4 linked regions of the Caenorhabditis elegans genome follow. The protein of the gene in region 4 purifies or fractionates together with the protein of the main gene of each other region. This does not show direct contact. Each region holds a gene or a part of one and is shown on either strand. Other genes may lie near its edges.

Evidence for each region.
Region 1: the proteins of copb-2 (region 4) and rpc-2 fractionate together in Caenorhabditis elegans (co-fractionation; one large-scale study listed by BioGRID). This does not show direct contact.
Region 2: the proteins of copb-2 (region 4) and copb-1 fractionate together in Caenorhabditis elegans (co-fractionation; one large-scale study listed by BioGRID). This does not show direct contact.
Region 3: the proteins of copb-2 (region 4) and mcat-1 fractionate together in Caenorhabditis elegans (co-fractionation; one large-scale study listed by BioGRID). This does not show direct contact.

What each region holds. Positions count from the first base shown.
Region 1 is NC_003281.10:5,555,537-5,563,379, forward strand, and holds the start of rpc-2 (DNA-directed RNA polymerase subunit beta), read left to right. Parts: upstream 1-1,828; coding exon 1,829-2,560; intron 2,561-2,973; coding exon 2,974-3,881; intron 3,882-4,121; coding exon 4,122-4,211; intron 4,212-4,260; coding exon 4,261-4,543; intron 4,544-4,840; coding exon 4,841-5,035; intron 5,036-5,306; coding exon 5,307-5,685; intron 5,686-6,144; coding exon 6,145-6,703; intron 6,704-7,221; coding exon 7,222-7,366; intron 7,367-7,843. Other genes in the region: hach-1 (3-hydroxyisobutyryl-CoA hydrolase, mitochondrial), read left to right, coding at 48-440, 493-866, 1,065-1,285, 1,336-1,454.
Region 2 is NC_003280.10:3,077,043-3,081,799, reverse strand, and holds the start of copb-1 (Coatomer subunit beta), read right to left. Parts: upstream 3,005-4,757; 5' UTR 2,995-3,004; coding exon 2,502-2,994; intron 1,413-2,501; coding exon 1,204-1,412; intron 543-1,203; coding exon 460-542; intron 1-459.
Region 3 is NC_003280.10:88,010-93,396, reverse strand, and holds mcat-1 ([acyl-carrier-protein] S-malonyltransferase), read left to right. Parts: upstream 1-1,877; coding exon 1,878-2,089; intron 2,090-2,584; coding exon 2,585-2,705; intron 2,706-2,756; coding exon 2,757-2,854; intron 2,855-3,184; coding exon 3,185-3,357; intron 3,358-3,408; coding exon 3,409-3,544; intron 3,545-3,956; coding exon 3,957-4,146; intron 4,147-4,358; coding exon 4,359-4,535; intron 4,536-4,648; coding exon 4,649-4,759; 3' UTR 4,760-4,868; downstream 4,869-5,387. Other genes in the region: C50D2.7 (putative ADP-dependent glucokinase), read left to right, coding at 1-421, 795-954.
Region 4 is NC_003282.8:9,458,113-9,464,534, forward strand, and holds copb-2 (putative coatomer subunit beta'), read left to right. Parts: upstream 1-1,618; 5' UTR 1,619-1,624; coding exon 1,625-1,786; intron 1,787-1,855; coding exon 1,856-2,344; intron 2,345-2,389; coding exon 2,390-2,523; intron 2,524-2,572; coding exon 2,573-2,805; intron 2,806-2,917; coding exon 2,918-3,233; intron 3,234-3,280; coding exon 3,281-3,632; intron 3,633-3,687; coding exon 3,688-3,929; intron 3,930-3,976; coding exon 3,977-4,814; intron 4,815-4,886; coding exon 4,887-5,027; intron 5,028-5,099; coding exon 5,100-5,195; 3' UTR 5,196-5,908; downstream 5,909-6,422. Other genes in the region: F38E11.6 (Adenylate kinase), read right to left, coding at 6,202-6,231. UniProt on the Caenorhabditis elegans protein: The coatomer is a cytosolic protein complex that binds to dilysine motifs and reversibly associates with Golgi non-clathrin-coated vesicles, which further mediate biosynthetic protein transport from the ER, via the Golgi up to the trans Golgi network.

The sequences.
Region 1 (7,843 bases), on a different chromosome or scaffold from region 4:
TTTTATTTTTCTATCAAATTTTCTGTTCTAAACTCAGAAATTTCCAGGAAGTCTGCCAGAAGATGTCGTTCTCCGTGAGCGCCGCCGCCAAGTCGGAAATCCTTGTCGACACACACGGATCGAAGAAGGTGGTTACATTGAATAGGCCTAAAGCGCTAAACGCGTTGAACCTCGAAATGGTACGAGAGTTTTATCCCAAACTTCAAGCCTGGAATTCATCTTCCGATGTGGATCTTGTCATTTTGAAAGGATCCGGTGATAAGGCGTTCTGTGCTGGAGGAGATGTTCTTGCCGTTGTGCGATCTTTCAAAGATTCGGAGAGTGGAAAAGAGTGCACAATGCACAAGGATTTCTTCCGCGAGGAGTACATTTTAAATCATTTAATTGGAACTTTGAATAAGCAATACGTTTGTCTGATTGATGGAATTGTGATGGGAGGAGTAAGTTATCTGCAACTATTTTCTTTTCAATTTTTTAAAAAACTTGTTTCAGGGTTGTGGTCTTTCTGTAAATGGACGTTTCCGAGTTGCCACTGAGAAAACAATGCTAGCAATGCCAGAAACCGCACTTGGACTCTTCCCAGACGTCGGTGGATCCTATTTCCTTTCAAGGCTCAAGGGAAACCTCGGAATGTACTTGGCACTCACTGGATATCGTCTTCTAGGTGCTGACGCTTTCCATGCTGGTCTTGCCACTCATTTTGTGGAGTCTTCGGAACTTGCGAAATTGGAAAAGGAACTTGTGAATATTAAGGATGTGACAGAGAACTCTGTCGATGAAGTCATCAGATCGTTCGAGCCAAAGAAGATTCCAGAATTCAGTCTGTCCAAGAATTTGGCTCAAATTAGAGATTCCTTCAAAGCAAAGTAAGATATTTTGTCACCAAGATCACGTGTATTTGAGTTGGAACAAATTAAAAAGTAGCATTTCATCGAATTGATTTATTATTGTTTCTCAGATAATATTAGTTTTAAGCAAAAACTAGGAAAGGGCCAGTTTTGAGGATTCGATAGCACACAAAAAATTACATTTGCCTAAGATATATAAAATAATTGATTTTTCAGAAGCGTCGAAGAAATCCTCGCAAGCCTCGAAAAAGACGGATCCGACTGGGCAAAGAAGCAAGCAGCCACTCTAGGAAAAATGAGCCCAACTTCCCTGAAAGTAACTCACCGACAAATCACCGAAGGAAGCAAGATGAGCTATGCAAAGATCTTCACAATGGAGTATCGTCTCACTCAACGATTCCTCGCCGATAAGGATTTCCATGAAGGGTGCCGAGCCAGTGAGCAGAGATTTTGTAGGGTTTCATTGAAAATTTGACTCATTTTTCAGTTCTCGTTGACAAGGATCGCAAGCCAAAGTGGAATCCAGCGACGTTGGCTGATGTGAAGGATTCTGTCGTCGATAACTATTTCTCGCCATTGCCAAATAATTCTGATTTAAAATTGTAGAGGCCAGAATTAGCGGAAAATTGAATTTTTAATGGAAAGCTAAAAAATCAGGGAAACCCATAATTTTTATCGGATTTCCTCGTTTTCCTATCTTTTCACCCAAAATGTTGATTTTCCCCCATAATTTTTACCATTTTAATAGGAACCCCTTATGTATTTATTTTTAGAAAAATGTCTAGCTATAATTTAATTTTTCCGGGTGTACAAATAATTTCCGTGCCTTTTTCAGCTATTCGCCGTATGAATATAAAGTTTTTTTTTGTTTTTGAATTTTATTTCCAGATTTCTATTGCAAACTGTTATTTTCTGTTTTTGTACCTCTTTTTCAAATAATTTTTATTCTAGAATTTCAGATTTTCAATACCAATTTTCAGATGACAATTGGCCAAGTGAACGGCCGCGCTCGCATAAAATCCGAGTGCGGCAAGGATCAGAAATGCATGCCACTCGAGGACAAATGGCTTCTCGTTCCCGCGTTTTTGAAAGTTCGAGGACTCGTCAAACAGCATCTCGTCAGTTTCGATCATTTCGTGCAGGAGGAGATCCGAAGTATCATGCTCTCCAATCAGAAGATCACTTCCGATGCAAATCCAAACTTTTATCTCAAATATTTGGATATTCGAATCGGAAAACCCAGCAGTGAGGAGGGTCTCAACATGACTCACGATAAGATTACCCCTCAAGAATGTCGACTACGAGATATGACCTACTCGGCGCCAATTTCAGTGGATATTGAGTACACACGTGGTAATCAAAGAGTATTCAAGAAGGATCTGATCATTGGTCGAATGCCGATTATGCTTCGTTCGAGTAAATGTATTCTCAGAGATCTTGCCGAAGAAGAGCTTGCAAGAGTTCAAGAATGCCCATATGATCCAGGAGGTTATTTTGTGGTCAAAGGAAGTGAAAAGGTTATCCTGATTCAAGAACAACTCTCCAAAAATCGTATTATGGTTGGAAGAAATTCAAGTAAAGAACTGCAGTGTGAAGTACTTTCGTCGACGTCCGAGAGGAAAAGTAAGACATATGTGACTATGAAGAAGGGTAAATATTCTGTTCGCCACAATCAGCTCACCGATGATGTACCAGTTTCCATCATTTTCAAGGTAAATTTTGAGAATTTTGATGACAACTGAAAAAAAAAATGTTCGGCATTCATTCCTAAATATTTTATTTAAAAAAAAAAACATCCAATACAAAAACATTCTCCGAAAAATATTTTTCCAAATTTTGATGCAAAAAATATTCTCAAAAAATGTTTTAGAATAAAAAATAATGAAGCTTTCTTTCTTTCTGATTGTGAGAAACTGAACATTTTACGATATTTTCAATCGAAATTCCTCAAAAACATTTATTATCGAATCTGGAGTTTTTCAGATTTTTTTTTCCAAAATTCGAGTTCGCTTTTTTTAATTCAAGAAAATTATTACAAAAAATAGGGAAAATTTTAAAAAAAGTGTAGCATTATGTTAAAACAAAAACTAAAAACCGCTTCCTTTTCAAAGTTTCAATTTTCCAGGCGATGGGAGTCGAATCAGATTTTGACATTGTGAGTACAATCGGTCACGAGGAGAAGTACGTTTCAGCATTTGCTCAAACTCTCGAAGAATCCATAAATGCCGGAGTTTATACCCAACAGCAGGCACTCGCATATGTTACCTCAAAAGTCAAGGCTCGTAAATTCACACCATTCGGATCACTTCCAGGAACTTCAGTGAGCGTCTTGACTCCACCGAAAGAACACGAAGCAGTCGATTTTCTGTCCAATTCAATGATCACACATATTGCTTGCCCAGATGGAAATTTCAAAATGAAGGCGATTTATTTGGGATTAATGACAAGACGACTGATTCAAACGGAACTCGGAGAAAATGGGCTTGATGATCGGGATTTCTACGGAAATAAACGTTTGGAGCTCGCTGGATCATTGCTTTCGTTGCTGTTTGAGGATGTATTCAAAAGATTCAACTCTGAACTGAAAAGAATTGCAGACAATGCGTTGATGAAGACAATGGCTGCACCATTGGATATTGTGAAGCATATGAGACAAGATATGATTACGAATACTATAGTGAATGCTATGTCGACAGGAAATTGGATTATCAAAAGATTCCGAATGGAACGACTTGGTGTTACACAAGTACTAAGTAGATTGTCATATATCTCAGCACTTGGTATGATGACAAGAATCAACTCGACTTTTGAGAAAACTCGAAAAGTCTCTGGTCCTCGATCCCTTCAACCATCTCAATGGGGAATGCTTTGTCCGAGTGATACTCCTGAAGGTGAAGCTTGTGGTCTTGTGAAGAATCTCGCTTTGATTAGTCACATTACAACTGATTCCGATGAGAAACCCGTTCTCAGATTGTTACTCAATTCGGGAGTCGAGGATTTACATAATGTGCATTTCTCGCATGTCAATAAGCCGTGAGTTTTTACAAATTAAAATTTTAAGTGTGAAATCTTGAAAAATAAAAGTTTTGAGAATGCTAGTTTTGAAAAAATCGCATATTTTAATCAATTTTTATAAATTTCTAAAATAAATTATCAATTTCATAAAAATTAGATTTCAAATCGAGTTAAGGTTTGACAATTTTTGAAAATTACTAGATCCATTTTTTTGTGTTTTTTCCTAAAAAAAAGGTTATTTTTATCGAAAATTTTCAGTGAAAACACGTTGATCTTCTTAAACGGAGTGCTCATTGGAACAGCTGTGGATCCAGAAAGAGTGGTGAAAGCCGTCAGAGATTTGAGAAGGTTTCAACAAAAAAATGTTGCCAAAAAATTCATCGAATTTCAATTTCAGAAGTGGACTCCTGTCAGAATTTGTTTCAGTATCCCGTTCTCTAACCAATCGTTCTGTTTTCATTTCATCAGACGGTGGCCGCCTGTGTCGACCATATATTATTGTCAAAAACGGAACTCCAATGCTCACACAGGCTCACGTGCAGGAACTGAAAGAGGGAAAAATGATTTTTGAGGATTTTGTTGATGACGGAATTGTCGAATATTTGGATGTAAATGAGATGAACGATGCGTTGATTGCCGTTTATGGGAGAGAAATTGGCCCAGAAACTACACATTTGGAGGTACGTTTTTGAACTTTGTGAATCTAAAAATGAAAAAAATTAAATCGAAAACTGGTTGTTCTTTCCTGTAAAGAAAATTCAAAAAATTTGGTAAAATTTGTCTGAAACTTAAAACTATGTGAAAAAAGTTTAAATTCTCATTTTTTTAAATATAAAAAATTGAAAATCAAATTATTTAGAGCTCTAAAATTCTATAATTCAAGGAAATTCCAACATTTAAAGATTTTTATCCTTAGTTTAAAATAAAATTTGCACTTTTCAGTGTCTGAGCTATTAATAATCTTTCAAAATTTCCAGATTGAGCCATTTACTCTTCTTGGAGTGTGTGCTGGTCTTATTCCATATCCACATCATAATCAATCTCCACGTAATACTTATCAATGTGCTATGGGTAAACAAGCAATGGGAACAATTGCCTATAATCAACAGAAAAGAATTGATTCAATTATGTATCTTTTATGTTATCCACAGAGACCACTCGTTAAGTCAAAGGTTCGTTAAAATTGAAATATTTTAAAATTTATGAAAAAAATTTGATTAAAAAATGCATGTTTCATTTATTGAACTAATGTTTGTGGAGAGATATCGTTAATAATCCTGAAAATAAAAATAAATCAATTTCCTGAATTCCGAAAAATAAAAAAATCAAATCGGAAGTATCCGCTATATCTTTCTAATCAATTATTCTATTCAGAAATTTTTAATTTGTTTTTCTTTTAGAAAATTATCAATTGTTCAAACTTTTTACATCACAATTTTCCAGACAATCGAACTGACAAACTTTGAAAAACTGCCGGCCGGCGCGAATGGAATCATCGCAGTGATGTCATACAGTGGTTACGATATCGAAGATGCTCTTGTGCTCAATAAAGCTTCACTGGATCGTGGTTATGGTCGTTGTCTGGTCTACAAACATGTGAAGGGAACCGCCAAAAAATATCCGAATCAGACATTCGATCGTCTTCTAGGACCAGCATTGGATCCGAACACGAGAAAACCAATTTTCAAGCACAAAAATCTCGATCAAGAGGGTATTGTATTCGCCGGAGCACGTATTATGCCGAAACAGACGATTATCAATAAGCACATGCCAGTTGTCAGTGGAGAAAGTGGTCCTGGAGCGTCGGCTTCTGCCAATACAAGTATGTTGAAATGAGCATGACGAATTTGTATAAGGAAAATAAAAACGGAATGTACAGTTTCGAGAAGACATCTATTTTTTTAAAAGTTTTACGAAAAAAAACACGAAAAATATAAAAAAAAAAGAATAATAAACAATTCCCAGACCAACCTCGTAAAAATGAAAGCGAGTTTTCAACAGAAACCCTGTTTTAAAACTTTTTCCAAAAAATCTGAAGTATTTATAGCATTTTTTAATTTTTACCAATTAAACAAATGTTTTAAAAAAAAACTCAAAGAAACTGTCTCCGTTCTTTTTTGCGAATATAAATTTTCTAACTTTTTTACGTTCACAATTAAATAAAACTTGACATTTATTCCGTTCAAATATTCAATTAATTTAATTTAAAACGAAAATTTAAATATAAAACTCTGAAAAAGTAAAAAAAAAAACGTTCACTAACAATTCTTTAAATTTTCAGTCGGAATCGCTGGACGCCAAGTTGACTACAAAGACGTCTCGATCACGTATAAAACTCCAACTCCATCATATGCGGAACGAGTTCTTCTTACCTATAATGAAGATGAAGCTCATTTATTCAAAGTTCTTCTTCGACAAACCCGTCGGCCAGAACTTGGAGATAAATTCTCATCTCGACACGGACAAAAAGGAGTATGCGGATTGATTGCTCAACAGGAAGATATGCCATTTAATGATCTTGGAATGGTGCCAGATATGATTATGAATCCTCATGGATATCCATCTCGAATGACTGTCGGAAAATTAATGGAATTGTTATCTGGAAAAGCTGGAGTAGTGAATGGAACATATCATTATGGAACAGCATTTGGTGGAGATCAGGTTAAAGATGTCTGTGAAGAATTGGCTGCTTGTGGTTATAATTATATGGGAAAAGATATGCTGACAAGTGGAATTACTGGACAACCATTATCTGCTTATATCTACTTTGGACCAATCTATTATCAGAAGCTCAAGCATATGGTTTTGGATAAGATGCACGCCCGTGCCAGAGGACCGAGGTGTGGAGAGATTTTGAATTTAGATAATGTCTTGTCTGGAAATTCTGAATTTTGGAAAGAATTTTCAATTAAATATTTAAAAATTAAGTTTAGCAACAAAATCTGAAAAAGAAAAATTTTTAGAACAGTTAACTCTGCATTTTCCAACTTTCCTTTAAAACTTTTGATGTAAAACAATGAGGAATTGCAACATTTTTTTAATTAGAAAATTTGGTATCAATCAAAATTCACTTATTTTTATCATGGTTAAAATTTCGAAAAAAGCCAAATTGAAAAAGTTCTGAAAAAGGAATTGACAAAATGCTCGAAGCTTAGGAAATTAGGGGAAAAAAGAATCAATTTTTCATAGTGGAAATACATTTTTTTCAAATCCAATTCGCGGAAATGTTATGCATATTTTGGAACAAAAAAAACCATTTTAATTTTTCTCACATTTTTTAAATTAAAAAAAAAACTTTTTTTAAAAATTTTTTTCAATTTATTCTCAGAGTTTCTTTTAAAAATCTATAAATTTTCAGAGCCGCATTGACTCGCCAGCCAACAGAAGGAAGATCACGAGAAGGAGGTCTACGTCTTGGAGAAATGGAACGTGATTGTCTCATTGCCTATGGAGCATCGATGCTGCTTATTGAGCGTTTGATGGTGTCATCAGATGAGTTTAAGGTAAATTCCCTTACCGAGTTTTTTTTAAAAGTTTGCTACTTTTGTGTGTGTGCGCGCAATTTTTGCTCATCATTACACTAGCCGTAACACTCTCAAGTGGTTCTTTTTTGCGAAAATGAGGAGCGAAACTGTTGCGGGAGAGACTGGGAGAAGCCTTGCGTGGGTTGACTTTGCGGGTCGACTTTTCTTGGAAACTGGGTTGACGTTTTTTGGAAAGGTTCTTGAAAATTTTTGATTTACCGCAGAGAAAATTATGGATTTTGTTTGATCATGAGAGAATACATTTCCCGACTTTTATCTGAAAATATCGAAAAAAAAGGTCGGAAACCGATTATTAATTTTTTTTTGAACTCCCACTTTTTTATAAGAACAGAGAAATCGATTTTAAAAAAAGCATTTTCCCTAAAAACTTTTTAAAAAAAGCAAAACTTTCTATTTTAATGGCTCTGAATCTCTGTTGCTCGGAAGTTAAAAAAA
Region 2 (4,757 bases), on a different chromosome or scaffold from region 4:
ATTATCTGATTTTTCGCCTATTTTTTTTTGACAAAAATCGCGGAATTTTCAAGATTTCGGGGTCTAAAGACGGTAATTTTCTAACTTTTTATCTTTTTTTTTTTCAGAAAAACGCGAAATTTTCACGGTTTTGGGGCTTTTGGCGTCTAAAACTCGATTTTTTTGAGAATTTTGATAGGTTTTTCAAGAAAAAATAAAGATTTAATTATTTTTCAGCTTATTAACGAAAAAATTGCACAATTTCCAGGTTTTGGAGCATTTTTTTCGAAAAAAAAAAACTCAACATTTTTCATTTTTTCAGGCTATTTTTCGAGAAAATCGCTGAATTTTTAAGGTTTTGGGGTCTAAAAATCGTAATTTTCCAGTTTTTTCGCTAAAATCGCACAATTTTTATGGTGTTGGCGATTTTTTGTCCATTTTTTCCAGGAAAATCCGTCATTTTTCCAAGATTTTCCTCACCTAACGGCTGGTGATGATGACTGAAGAAGATTGTAGACACATCTGATGAATCGGGAAGCCTCGTTTGGATTATTGTGGCAAACCTGAAAGAAAATTGGAGTTTTTGGATGATTTCGGCCATTTTTTTTCAGTTTTTTCGGTTAAAATTGGAGGAAAATCATATTTTTCGATAAATTTATCGTATTTTCGTTGAAAAAACCAATTTTTAGTTAATTTTAAAATTAAAAATCGATTTTCACACATTTTTATAGTGAAATTTCTAGATTTTCACGATTTTTCTGAGATTTTTGCTTAAAAGTTCATATTTTCATTCAATTTTCATAAAAAGCGACGTTTTAAATGAAAATTCTCCGTTTTTTTAAAACAAAAATAGCCTGTTTAACAAGTTTTTCTCAAAAAATCGATATTTTCAATCAATTTTCTTGAAAATCGCCGTTTTTAATGTAAATTCTCCATTTTTCAACGAAAAAACGCCATTTTTATAGCTTTTTTACTCTAAAATTCACATTTTCAGTTAATTTTCATAAAAAAAGTGCCGTTTTTAATGGAAATTCTCCGTTTTTTAACAAAAAAAAAAACCCCATTTTTACAGGGTTTTGTCAGATTTTTCCTTAAAAAACCGCAATTTTCTTGAAAATCGCCGTTTTTAATGAAAATTCTTCGATTTTCAACGAAAAAAACCCCATTTTTACGGGTTTTTTCTCAAAAAATCGATATTTTCAGTCAATTTTCCACAGAATGCACCTTATAAATGAGTTCAACAATAACGAGCTGCAATATATCTCCAAAAGATCCGACTTGATCGATACATCCCGATAAATAGTCAAGAGCACGAGCTTGATCTACGTGAAGGAGCATCATAAAAGCGTTACGCTTGCACGAAGCATCTTGCTCCTGTTCAAGGTATTCTGTGACGAGCTCCGGTGCGTCTGGGATCAGGAATTCAAAGTTTTCTGGAAAAAAAGCGGGATTTTTGGATTAAACGGGGAAAAAATGATCAAAAAATGCGAAAAAATCACCTAATTTTAGCTAAAATCATTAATTTTGGTCAATTTTCCGGTCCCGAAGTTGGTTTTTTCTCAAATTTTCACCTTTTATTGCATATTTCCATTGATTTTTCGTTAATTAAGGTGCATTTCAAGACCAAACTCGCATTTTTAGCTGAAAAATACGATTTTTCCTGGTTTTTTTGCAGAAAATATGACATTTTTAGCTGGAAATCTGCAAGTTTTTCAGGTTTTTCCCTGAAAAATTCGATTTTTCTGCTTAAAATAACGAAATTTTACGTATTTTTAGCTTAAAACATCAAAAAGTCGAATTTTTTTTCCATCTTCCAGCTTAATAATCGATTTTTGGCAACAAAAATCAGACAAAATGCTCATTTTTCAGCTGAATATTGGCATTTTTGCCGTTTTTCAGCGAAAAATAGTCAGAATTTCGTTGGAAATGTGATTTTTCTTGAAAAATCATGAAAAATCGTATTTTTCAGCAAAAAAACTGAAAAAAAAACCCCAAATTTTAGCTGAAAATGGGATTTTTGCCATTTTTGGCTGACAAAATCGCATTTTCAGCTAAAAATGTGTTTTTTGGCATAAAAATTGTAAAAAATCGTATTTTTCAGCTCAAAAAACATGAGAAATCGCAATTTTCACCAAAAAAAACTGAAGAAACCTTCAAATTTCGGCTAAAAATGCGATTTTTGCCATTTTTGGCTGAAAAATTCGCCAATTTTCAGCTAATAAAGGGATTTTTTCGCAAAAAATCGCAAATTTCACCGAAAATGAGCCTAGAAAATCGCATTTTGGAGCAAAAAATCAAAAATCTTAAGAAACCCTCAAATTTCGGCTAAAAATGCGATTTTAGCCGTTCTTGGCTGAAAAATTCGCCAATTTTCAGCTAAAAATGCGATTTTTTGCAATAAATGTACCTTTTATCAACTAAATAACGTAAAATATGCAATAAAAGGTGAAAATTCTTGGAAAAAAGTCATTTTTCGCATTTTCAAGCCCATTTCAGGCCTAAATAAGCCCAAAAAAACTCACTATAAATAGTGAAAATCGCGCAGACAGCGTTACGACGAACATACGAGTGCCGATGCTCCAAACAAGCTCTAATCGCCGGCATAAGCGGCTCGAGAAGCTCGGGCTCACGGAGTTTGCACAAAAACCGAAGGGTCGAACCGCGAACGAACTCATTCGGGTGTTGAAGGTCTTTTCGGTAGGCATCGCACACCAGAATCATCTCGTGGAGCAGCTTTCCATTGGAATCCGTCTTCGGAACACATTCCCAGAAGATCAAGAGCACTTTTTTAAGGGTGTGCTCATTGGATGGAAGACAGAAGCGGATGACGTACATTAGCATGCTCTGCGACGTTTTTTCTCCGTTTAAAATCATGTAAATGAGCTTTTTGAGCGCCTCAATTCGCTCTTTATCGCCTCCTTTCTCGAATTTTTCCTTCAATTGAGCTTCTGATGGGAGCTCAGCGTCACTGGGCACGTGGATGAGTGTGTAGCATGGTTGCTCTCCGGAGCTCATTGTGGAGGAGCTGGAAATTCGGGTTTTTTGTGGGGAAAAGAAAGAAAAAAGTAGAGAAAGTTCACGTTTTAAAAAAAAATTTGTGAAAAAATTGAATTTTCCAGCTAAATCGCATTTTTCTGTGAAAAATCATCGAAAATCATCGAAAAACGCCAGAAAATGAATAAAAATCGTCAAAATACGCTGGAAAACCCCCGAAAATCGCCTTTAAGCATGAAAAATGCCCAAAAACGTCAGAAAATGGATAAAAATCATCAAAAAACGCTGTAAATGACAAGAAAATCACTCTGAAGCATGAAAAATGCTCAAAAACATCAGAAAAATCAAAAACATCAGAAAAATTGAATTTTTGACCATTTTTAACCCTAAAACTCTTCGAAATCCAGCTGAAAACCCGATTTTTTAGTCAAAAATTCCGTTTTTTGGCGTAAAAATCGGAAAATCCCGGCTTTTAACCTAAAAATTAGGTGTTTACTGAAAATTTCCAAATTTTCGGCTAACAATCCCCATTTTCAATCGATTTTTTCCATTTTTCACTGAAAAAATCAATTTTTTAGCTTAAAAATCGAAAAATATCGGTTTTTAAGCTAAAAAATCAGATTTTTACTGAAAATTTCCAAATTTTCGGCTAAAAATCCCCATTTTCAATCGATTTTTTCCATTTTTCACTGAAAAAATCAATTTTTTAGCTTAAAAATCGAAAAATATCGGTTTTTAAGCTAAAAAAATCAGATTTTTACTGAAAATTTCCAAATTTTCGGCTAAAAATCCCCATTTTCAATCGATTTTTTCCATTTTTTCAGTAAAAAATGCCAAATTTTTTACTAAAAATGCAAATTTTCTGACTGTTCTTGTAAAAAAATTGAAAAAATTCAATTTTTTGGACAATTGTATGCAAAATTCGCCTTTCCCTCGGTTTTTTTTTGTGGTAAAACCCCGCGAAAATTCGCTTTTTTTGCCTTAAAACTTAATTTTTAATGGAAAAAAAAACGCGAAAAGTTGCAAAAATCCACAAAAAATGCGATTTTTGTTAGTTTTAGCTGAAAAAAATTGCATTTTTCAGCTAGAAATCTGAAAAATCACACAAATTGTTGCTAATAATGCAATTTTTGCCAGTTTTGGCTGAAAAAATTGCATTTTTCAGAAAAAAATACTGAGAAAACCACCAAAATTCTGCTGATAATGGGATTTTTTGTCGTTTTTGCCTGAAAAAATCGCATTTTTCAGCAAAAACTGTAACTTTTTCTGCAAAAAACACAGAAAATCGAATTTCTAATGGAAAAAAATCGCAAAAATCCACAGAAAACTACGGAAAAAGTTGCGAAACTTGATTTTTCACAAAATTCTCTCATTTCGCCTGGTTTTTATTGATTTTTTGACAGAAATCTAGGCTTTAAAGCTGTAAAACCCAATTTTCAACGACAAATTGATTTAAATTGACCTAATTCAACGCCACGTCACTTTTCACTCTTTCTACCTGTTTTTTATCGATTTTTGCCGCTTTTTCGACTGAAATATAGCTTTAAAAGCTTCAAAAATCAATTTTTAACCTCAAAAACCCACGAAAAAACGAAAAAATCCGCTGAAAACCGGCAAAAATCCACGTAAATCGCCGGAAAAAGATTGGAATCTAGATTTCTCGCACAGTGACGTGGTTCTCGCCATCCACCGTACCCCGTGACACAGCGGCGGGCAAATCGTGGCGAGACCCGGCCGCATTTTGAAATGTGATAATTTACACGGAAATCGACACAAAAAGCTTA
Region 3 (5,387 bases), on a different chromosome or scaffold from region 4:
ACGTAGATTCTCTTGGTATTAATGAGCAAGAGCTCACATTCCTGTCACATATTGCAAATGGACCACATATGGAAGAATATCCGGTACAAGCTGGAACCGTTCATGTGCACAAAGTTGTAGAGATGCTCCATTGGCTCTTGAAGACATATGGAAGAGATCCCACTGGACAAATTGCGTCGAAAACTGGATACCGGCTCTCTCGAATTCATTTCCATTGTCTCACGTATCACATTATGGTATCTTCTGGAACAGATTGGTCTAATCTTGCTGCTGGCCTTGCTGCCGGAGCCAGAATCGCTGGTCGATTGTCATGTAATATTGGAGCAAATACGATGGATTCGGAGCTGCTGGAAATTAGAACTCCGGCGAATTTTGTGTTGGATAAGAAGATTGAGAAGAATTATCAATTTGAAGCTCATAAGTATGTGAAAAGAGGAATCAATTGAGAGAAAAACACCGAATTAAAAAAAACACCAAAAAAGCTTTTAAGTTATCAAAAATCAATATTAAACTGAGAGTAGAATTTGTGGGTATTTTGCGTAAATAGACTGAAACTTGTCCAAAACCACCTAATTTCATAATGAGACTTCACAAAAAAGTTGCCCAAAACGTTTCGGGTCAAAATTTCAAAAAAAAAACCAAATTTTGCTAAAATCTGGAATTTTTCCCACTTTTCTTTGATTGTAGGTCGGGTTACTGTAATAGTAATGTAGGGGTACTGTAGGAGTACGGTAGGATTACTGTAGTTATGGGGGAAAAAGTTGTGTTCCTTTTCCTTATCAATCTGTTTCCAGCCCAATAGCATCATGGATGCGTGAAGATGTTCTATTCGTGTTCACACCTGTTCTTGTATGCCGTTTACCATCAAAAACCGTCGGAATTGATGATGCAATTTCTGCTACCGGACTTCTTTATTCACAATTTTATCGCTTGAATAGACCCACTCATTGGTAGACTTTCACATGGTGTCGGGTTATCCCATCACGGGTTGATGTACAAGAAATGCGGGATTTCTGCGTCTCGCTCACCGCATTTTTGTAGATCACACCGTGATGGGACACTCTGACACCACGTGTACTTTATTGTAAAAATTTGTTCATTCTCCCCATTTTTTGCCATTTTTTTCATGTATTTTCTCTTTTCCCCCCAAAGATTCTGTGAATTTTGTTATGATTATGTGCCTGTAATTTTTGTAAATGTAAATAGTAATAAATACCCTTTTTTTTCTAAATTTTGAATTTTGTGGTTTTCTCCATTTTTTCTATTTTTTTGCGATTTCAGGTAGTCTCATCAAAAAATTGACGATTTTTAGAAAAAAATCAAATATTTTTTTGAAAATTTTTAGACTTTTTGATGATTCAAAATTCTTATAATTTTTGGATCGAAATTAATGTTTATGTAAGTAAATTTTTGAAGTTTGAAAAACGGTATATTTTTGAAAATCGAAAAAAAATGTTTACAAAGCCTCAAAGTGCAGTACCGAAATCTCAGATTTTGCTTTTTTAGACCCAAGTTTTTGATTCCAGTTGAAAATCAACATTTTTTCCAGAACTTTGAACCGCCATAACTTCTTTTTTGTGAAATTTTCAAAAAGTCTTATTAGTTTCGGTAGTTTTTCGGTAGTCTAAAATGTCCGTCTAATCGGTAGTCTCGGTAGTCTATCGGCAGTATGAAAATTTTTGGGTAGTTTCGGCACTCGGTGGTCTAGTTTCGGTAGTCTAAAAAAGCAAAGTGTCAGATTTCGGAACTCCACCTTATGGGGTTATTCAAGTAGTGTCGGAAAATTAAAAAGTGTAGAAAAATTACGTCACAACTGTATTCAAGTATATAAGAAAAAACAAAAATGTTTTAATTTTCAAAAAAAACAATTTTTTCAGATGCTGACTCCATTTAACATAGCTCGTTGCTCCACACGACTTATTCGAAGAAAACCTCCAGGAGGTGGGATTCTGGATGAAGGAGTCACATTTTCAGATGTTCACAACGTAATTCTTAATCCAACGACACGGCTACCGTACCCAGAGGAGCAACTTCGTGAGCATATTGAAAAGACGTCAAGTGAAATTATGAAGGAAAGGAATAAAATTCGGTAATTTTGGTTTTTTTTTGAAAATTTTGAAATGAAGGAAATTCGAAAAAATTTAAAATTTTATTATTTGATTTTTTTCTCGGAAAAATCATGCAAAAAATAGTTTTTCTTTTTTAAATTTTCGAAAAATAACCGGAAATTATTAAAAATGTGGCCAAAAATGTACATTTTTGGTTTTTGAATTTTTTTCATTAAAAATAATTTAAGATCGAAATACCGATGAGCCTGGTACGGATAAAATAGGCAATTAAATTTTTCTTTTTTGAAAATTTCTGAAGTTCGGAGTTTTTGTTTTCAAAATTTCAAAAAAAAATTTTTTTCAAAAATTCAAATTTTTATAGAAAATCAACTCTACGATCGTTTTCGCTGTATTTCCGAATAAAATCACGTTCCATCACTTATTTTCCGTCTTGAGAGTACTAAGAATCAGATCGTTGAGATCGATGCACCATAAGCTTTGTCAGCCCATATATCGGTTAATTTTGATTTTTCAAGATACGGAACGCGCAAGAAGAAAGACTCTGGAGCTATTGATTTCAGTCAATTACCCATCGAAGAGCACGTCGTTCTATTATTTCCGGGACAAGGAGCACAATTTGTTGGAATGGGTCAAAAGGTGTTAAAGTAATAATGTTCGGCGCAATTGTTCAATTTTTTATTTCTACAGGTGATGGATATTCCAGCGGCACGGCGAGTTTTCGATGAAGCATCCGAAGTTCTAGGATATGACATGCTCAAAGTTTGTCAAGATGGTCCCAAACAGAAGTAATAAATATTATTCTCTGAAAAAATTAGAAATCTTTATCAAATTGTGCTCATGGTGAAAAAATACCGGCAAAAATACGTTTTTTGCCCGATATTATCTAATTTTCGATTTTCAAACAGTACTATTAATGCTTCTGGAATCGCCAAGCATATTTTCAAAATCAGGAGTGGGTGACAATTGCCGTTCGGCAATGTGGTTGTCGACAAATTTGGCAATTTGCCGATTTGCCGAAATTTTTCAATTCCGGCAATTTGCCGATTTGCCGGAAAAATCGTTTGCCGCCCACCCCTGTTCATAATATTGTCTGAAAAAATTTAAAAAAATTGCAGACTTGAACAAACACTTTACTGCCAACCGGCCATCGTAACGTCATCAATAGCAGCGTTTGAAGCTTTAAAAGCATCAGATCCGTCAATCGAAGAAAACCTGACTGATACAGCTGGATTTTCAGTCGGAGAATATGCGTCACTTGTTGCCGGGAAAGTTTTGAGCTTTTCAGATGGTAATTTGGTTTTTGTGTTTCTTCAATTCTTCTAAAATTAGACTTTTCCAGCTATCAAGATCGTGAAAACCAGAGCCGAAGCAATGTCAGAATGCGCGAAACTGGTGAAGAGTGGAATGGTTACGATTCGAGTAAAAGCTGCATCGAAATTGGATAAGGCAATGGCAGATGCCAGAAAAGTGGCGGCGTAGGTTTTTTCTCACAAAAATTTTCAAAAAAAACCTGCGGTTTTTGCAGGAAGAGTACAAAAAACCCGACGGAAATCATAAAAATTGAAAATTTTCAGAAAACTATTTTCCAACATTTGAAACTACTTTTATCGAAAATAAATTAACTTTGATGCGAAAAAATAAATTTACTTGAAAATAAACTAAATCGGCAAATTTCCTGAATTGAAAATTTCCCGCAAATCGGCACTCCGGCAAATTGCCGGAATTGCACATTTCCGGCAAATCGGCAATCGCCGAAAATTTCCAGCAAACCGGCAAATTGCCGGAATTTAAAATTTACGGCAAACCGGCAATTTACCGATTTGCCGGATATTTCAACAAAAAAACCTGCCGAACGGCCACCCAAACCCTGATTGTTCAAATTTCCAGTGAAAACCGAGAGCTTGTTGTATGTGAAGTTGCCAACTATCTGTATTGCGGTGTCCGAGTAATTGGCGGATCAGAAACGTGCCTAAAATATTTGGAAGAAAATCAAGAGAAATACAATATTCAAGTGATGAAGAGACTTGCAGTTTCGGCAGCTTTTCATACACGACAAATGGAGTCTGCCGTCGAACAGGTGTGTGCTTCTTTGCTATTTTCAAAAATTAATAACTTTTCATAGTGGTACGGTAGAAGTACTGTAGTTCAAGAAAAAATAGTTCTCATCCCCAGAAGTCGGGGCTGCGCCGGAGGTACGGTTCATGGCTGGTTAACAGAAAAATATTAAACAGAACCTGTATTTTCCGATAAAGTTGTTTTTATAAGCTTTCCTCATGTTTGTGTTTTCAGGTGGCAAAAGCTTTCCAAAACGTGGAGATTCATCGTCCGGTGTGCAATGTCTGGTCAAATTATAGTGGAAAAGTGATGTCATCGAAGAAGGGAGACGTTCGTGGAGCTGTCGCCAAACAAATCAATTCACCGGTTCGATGGGAACAGATTCAACAATCGCTGTTCAGAAAACATCAGGTAAATTTCAAATTTTTCGTGGTACTGTAACTTCAACGCCCCAAAACACATTTTCTTGCGCGCTGACTCAAATATGGTGAAGAATTTGGATTTTTCACATTAAAAAATTTCAGAACGAAGCATTCCCCCGCTTCTACGAAGTCGGTGCAGGACGTCAGCTCGGTGCGATGCTTTTTCAAACATCGAAAAAGGCTCACAAGAATTATTCACATTTCAGTTGCTGAATTGATTTTTTTCATTGTTTGTGTTATATTTATGTTAGCCTTATATATTATGTTAGCCTTATATTTATTATAGTTTCAATTGTTGAAAATATAAATTTCAGGATAATGAGTGCCCGTTTTATTCTAAAATCATTCAACAAACAACTTTTTATTTTTGCCCAATTCTTTTTTCAGCCATCTGTCCTTTTTTTTGGGGGGCAAAAAAATTCTAAAAATGTTTGAAATTATATTAAATTGAAAAAGGGCCATTTTTAAGGGTTCGGAGATCAATTTTGAGTCCTCTAGCTAAAAAATGAACCATTTTAGAGAAGTTTCAAAAATGTTATTTTTTGCCACTTTTAATAGTTTTTGATGGGTTAAACTTAGATTTTTTGGATTAAACATGTATGAATTACCCGTTCCCTACAAAAATAAACAACTTTTTATTTTTGCCCATTTTGATTTTTCAGCCATCACATAATGACTGTCCTTTTTTTTTGGGCAAAAAAATAATTTTTCTAAAAATGTTTGAAACCATATATTACCATGAAAAAAGGCAATTTTTTAGGGTTTGGAGATCAATTTTGAGTCCTCTAGCTAAAAAATGAACCATTTTAGAGAAGTTTCAAAAATGCTATTTTTTGCCACT
Region 4 (6,422 bases):
CAAAGAATGCTCTTGGTCTGGAGATTCTTTAAAAACAAAAATCCAAAAAATTTCTATCGTGGTATTTCTGTACGGACTGTGGCAGTAGTTTAGGTCTTGAATGACACAGTCGCCAGAAAGATGGATGTGAGCGGCGGCACCAGTATTCATTTTAGTACTTTTTGGCACGGTTTGACCTGAATTTTCAGAATTTTTAGAAAAAAATTAGCTCTGCTGATTTTGTGGGTCGTTACGCCTTGTGAAACCAAAAAAACTGAGTAAATTTCGGAAAGTTTAATTCATGAAATATTCAAAGGTTCTTGCTAGGCGCCAGTGTCGACACAGAAAATTTTTATATGCTACAAAAACAATCAAAAACGCTTCTTCATTTCTTTAACTTTCAATTTAACATAAAAATCATACATCTGAAAATTATTGGCGTGCGTGGGAGGTGCGTTTGTGTGGGAAGTGCCGCGTGCCAAAATGCCGTTTTAAAAAGGGTTCGCCAAATTGCCGAGGTGATTAAAATCGCACCTTATTGGGAAACATTACAAATTTTGGGTCAAATTGAAGGAAATTTATTCAGCTATCAGTATTCGATAGAAAAATGTACGTATGACGTGGCAGTCGCGCGAAAATCTCATGTAAAAGAGCGCTTCATGTGTTACCATACTTTTGGCCCACCCTGTATGAACATGGGTTCGTACCATGGAACCACAACGAAAATGACCAAAAGTTCCATATTTTTGAAGTCCCACAGAAAGCTATTTATTTTCTACCAGTTGTTGCATTACGTTTTGATTATTTGTATTTGAGCATTGTGTTGTCAATATTATAAGAATCATACCATTTCCACACACACACACACACACATTTTACATAAATAATTAGCTAAATTTATGTAAATTCTCTTGATAATTTACAAAAAGAACGAGCAAAATCGGTTATTCTTATTATTCCTGACTCGTATCGAGTACTCTTTCTACTATAATATTGCTCTTGGTTTGGACATTGTGGAGAACACAACAATAAGCAAGAAGATTGCCATAATCAGGTAAAACTAAGGCTGCAAAGGGGGCCTCTTCGATTTTAAGATATAACTGAGTTTTTTGAAAAATCTAAAACGTTTAAGGTTGTCCAGAGCAAAATTTGCATAAACATTCAACAACTTCACTATCAGTTTCAAAAAAAGTTGATTTTTCTCGTAATTTTTTTTCATTCATTTTACAACATTTCCTGAATGCAATTTTATTTATAAAATCTGCCACGAAGCAGCCACCGTTCGTAAGAGACACCTCACAAATGTGAGAAACGCAGACAAAAAAGTCAAAGGCACGCCGACTTTCCCGCTGTGGTCTCGATACGATCGGGGCTTTCTGAGTTGGCGATGGATGCGCCTCTACCTTTTGAGTGTTCTATCGTTTCGCCAACGTATCTTTTGATGAATTTTAAGATTTTCTTCTAAAAAAGATTAATTTCGGTTGATTTAAACATCTGAATTCTAAAAATCCAGAATATTATCGATTTTTGAATGTTCTTTCGGTTTTATTTTATTTCTATAAGCTGACTATTTGCAAATCTTCCTCTTCGTGCTCAGCTTAATTTTACATTGAGTTTATTTATTTTAGCTTTTTTTCAGAACAAGATGCCTCTCCGACTTGATGTAAAAAGAAAGCTTCTGGCTCGTTCGGACCGCGTGAAATGTGTCGACTTGCATCCAGTCGAAACATGGCTTCTAGCTGCTCTTTACAATGGAAATGTTCACATCTGGAATTACGAAACACAAACGCTTGTAAAGTCATTTGAAGTAAGCTTTTTTTCAAATTTATGTGCAAACTTCATGAAATTACGAAATAACTGAATCTAAATTTTGCAGGTGTGTGACGTACCAGTTCGTGCAGCGAAGTTCGTTCCAAGAAAGAGCTGGGTTGTCACGGGATCTGACGATATGCATATTAGAGTTTTCAACTACAACACATTGGAACGAGTTCATCAATTCGAAGCACATTCTGATTATCTCCGATCGCTCGTTGTTCATCCAACACTTCCCTACGTCATTTCATCATCCGACGACATGCTTGTTAAAATGTGGGATTGGGATAACAAATGGGCAATGAAACAGTCATTCGAAGGGCATACTCATTATGTCATGCAGATTGCCATCAATCCAAAAGATAATAACACTTTTGCAACTGCTTCTCTTGACAAAACTGTCAAAGTATGGCAGTTCGGATCGAATGTTCCGAATTTCACTTTGGAAGGACACGAGAAAGGAGTCAACTGTGTCGATTACTATCATGGTGGAGAGAAACCATACATTATTTCTGGAGCTGATGACCATCTGGTCAAGATTTGGGATTACCAAGTAAGTTTTTTTTCTCTTTGCATTCATCCAAAATGATATTTTCAGAATAAAACGTGTGTGCAAACGCTCGATGGACATGCGCAAAATGTGTCTTCAGTTTGTTTCCACCCAGAACTGCCATTGATAATCACAGGATCCGAAGACTCCACTGTTAGATTGTGGCATGCAAACACCTACAGGCAAGAACATTAAAGTACGATTTCCACAACAACAATTTAAAATTTTTAGACTGGAAACAACCTTGAATTATGGGTTGGAACGTGTTTGGTGCATCCAAGCTCAAAAAGGAGCCAACACTATTGCCATCGGATACGACGAAGGTTCCGTCACGTTGAAATTAGGCCGAGAAGAACCAGCAGTCAGTATGGATTCGTCTGGAAAGATTTTGTGGGCAAAGCACTCCGAAATTCAGCAAGCTAACCTGAAGACAATCTCAACTGAAGAGTCGGAAGCCATTCAAGGTTTGGAAAACTTTCATTCGACTTTTGTATAGTTCGGCACATGTTTTCTGAAAGTATTAAAAAAAGAGAAATTGTGTTCATTTATTATCACTCTAAGACAGTTCATTTACAGATGGAGAACGTCTGCCGCTTTCTGTAAAAGATCTCGGATCTTCTGAAATCTATCCACAAACCCTTGCTCATTCATCTAATGGACGTTTTGTTGTCGCTTGTGGTGACGGAGAATACATTGTTTATACTGCAATGGCTCTCAGAAACAAGGATTTCGGACAAGGACTCGAGTTTGTCTGGGCTGTTGATCCAAATATGTTTGCTGTCCGTGAATCTGCCACCAATGTGAAGATAAAGAAGAACTTCAAGGATCACAAGTCAATTCGTTCAGATATGGTACTTGAGGGAATTTCTGGTGGACCACTTCTTGCCTTGAGGTTTTTGAACTCTTATCAATTGACTTTTATTTAATTTTTTGTTTCAGATCGAACAACTCTTTGTGCTTCTTTGATTGGGAATCAGCCGTTCTTGTTCGTCGTATCGAAATTACTTCCAAGAGCATCTATTGGAGTGACAACGGAGAGATGGTCGCAATTTGTGGAGATGATTCATTCTACGTTCTCAAGTACAGTGCTGAAGCAGTTGCCAATGCAACAGAAGTGACCGAAGACGGTATTGAAGACGCGTTTGAGGTTATTGGAGAACAGGCAGAAGCTGTGAAGACGGGATTCTGGATCGGGGACTGCTTTATTTTCACCACTGCACTCAATAGAATCAACTATTATGTCGGTGGAGAAATTGTCACTATTGCTCATGTTGATAGACCACTTTATTTGGTGAGATTTTAAAACATGCGTTGTTCTTATCATTTTTAAAACTTAAATATTTTAGTTGGGATACATGGCTAAGGAATCTCGAGTCTATGCCGTCGATAAGGATCTCAACGTGATCTCATACAAACTTCTTCTATCTGTTCTTGAATATCAAACTGCTGTAATGCGCCGTGACTTCGATACTGCTGACAAGGTACTTACTACAATTCCAAAAGAGCAGAGAACTCGTGTTGCTCATTTCCTCGAAAAGCAAGGATTCAAGAAGCAGGCTCTTGCGGTCTCTCAAGACCCTGATCACAAGTAAGACAATTTTCAGCTTTTCAGCAATAATTTTGGAACGTTTTCAGATTCGATCTCTCGGTAGCTCTTGGAGATTTGAAGACTGCCTACGATTTGGCACTGCAAAGCGATTCAGAAGAGAAATGGAAGGCTCTCAGCAACGCCGCCACTCTTAAGTCGGAACTTCTTCTTGCTGGTGAATGTCTTGGAAGAGCTCGCGATTTCGGAGGTCTAATGCTTCTTGCAACGTGTGCCGGATCAGCTCCTCTTCTTCAGAAACTTGCGGATGACTCTGCTGCTGCCGAAAGCCACAATATCAGCTTCCTCAGTAGTTTGCTTCTTGGAGATATTGATGCTTGTCTAGACAAACTTATTTCGACTGGTCGCCTCCCAGAAGCAGCGTTCCTTGCTCGAACACATGCGCCGTCTCGAGTTTCATCTATTCTTGAATTGTGGAAAGCCAAGGCTTCGGGACACAGCGAAAAGAGTAGCAGAAAGATTGGAGAATCTCTTGCCGATCCAGTGAAGTATGAAAACTTGTTCCCTGGATTTACCCAATCACTGAAAGCAGAATCTTTCGTTCGTGAGATCTCCAAGATTCCAGTCCCAGCATCCGTTCGAGTGCCATCAGCTGCTACCCGGAATATTCAAGAGGAATTGGATGAAGCTGTTGCTTCGGGAGCAGTTTCTTTTACTGATGATGGCCAAGCAGTACTTAAGAATGCCCCAAGACAAACCGAGACACAATTGAAAGCTCCACCTCCTCCATCAGTTGCACGTCAACCCTCGCCTGTACGCCAGCCATCCCCTATTCGTGAGCCATCACCGATCCGCGAACCTGAACCTGAAGAAGAGGAAGAACAGGAAGAATTCGATGATGATCAGCAAGAGGTGCATGTTCCAGCTGTACGTTTTGAACAGTTTTTTATTCATATGGAATTTGACTATTCGTTGCTAGAATCACCAATTTATTTTCAGAATCAAGAAAGTGCCGATGCTCATGGAACATCTAAAACTCCTGATGTTGTTCTTGAGACAAGCCGGCCTGATATTGTCCCACCACGGGGGTCCGCCGCTCCAGATTTGGTTTCCGCGTCTTCACAACAATCTGCTCAAGATGTAAGTATTTATTTATAAATGTTTTGAAAATTATATAAACTGCGAAAATTCAATCAATTAATCCAATTACAGTTCCAAGATGATACGCAATGGTCAGATGAAGATTTTGGAGATGCTGAAAATGGAGACCTGAATATGGACGATCTAAATTTAGACGAGGAAGATTGACTGGTAGTCGATCGATCTGCCCAACAAGATCAGAAAGACTGAGTATCAGTGTTATTTTTTTGTGTATGTAATTTAAGCCCCCCCCCCCCCCCCTCCCGTCCTATCAATGTCCCCATTCCATCCGTAATTTCATGCACAATTTTTTGACGAATGATTCAGAGCAGATCGATCGATAGATAATTATTTTATTTTTCATGTTTCACCCCAAAAAGAGGTTTTTTTCTAACCCATCTGGTGTCGGTCACTCTCTAACATTCTTTGGGAAATTGTTAATTAGTATTATGGGAATGTGATAATGTTTTTCTTATCAAATAATTATGTAATTTATAGTGTTTTTGGCGCACTCGTCTTTTTTTGTGATTTTTATTTCTACTGGTCACTCCTGTCGTAAGCTCCCTTTGCCAACTATCCACCCAATTCATCCCTCCCCGTTTTCATATTTCTGCCTTCAAAATCACATAACTTATTGAATTTTTATGTTTATCGCCCTTTCTGATTTATAAGTAAACACTAAGTTATTTCCAGCTTTTTTGTGCGGTGTTTTTTGTATTCTAGGGGTTTTCTTCGAAGTTTTGTTCTATGGCTTTTTCCACTTCTACTATCATCCTCCCCAAAACTTTCGTGTTAACGAAAAAATGATGTAATGAGAGTTTTATTGATTGAAATGATTTTTTTTTCTTTTAACCGTGTTTGAATAAACGGAACAGAAAGTGTATGTGTGGCTGATCAGGAACAATTTGTAGATATTTATGTCTACACAAGTGATAATCAAAAGGCACTTCAAAAAAGGAGCAAAATGATAAGAGGCGTCGAGCCGATTTCAATACGGAAAAAGCGTATTCGGCGACAATCCGATACGATTTTTGGCACGGAATCCCATTTGACGAGGTTGAGCCGAAACTGAACGAGCTTCTCTTTCCATTGGTGGCTCTTCAGTATGTCTTGAAATTCGTTCGGAAGATTCGCTTCGCCGCTTGTTTAATGTTTCCGACTCGACGCCACCCCGTCAACTGTCTCGTGGTTGGCTTTGTTCTTTCTGAAATGATCATGATACTATAACAATATGATATAACATGTCGAAATTTTGTGAGATTTCTTTAAATAACCTAGTTTTTCAGTTCTCATAAATGTTTATTTTTGAATCTACACATTTCACATTTCCTTGATTTTTTACGATCCATCACTCATACGAAAACATGTGATTAATTTTGTCCCGCTTTCTCAAGG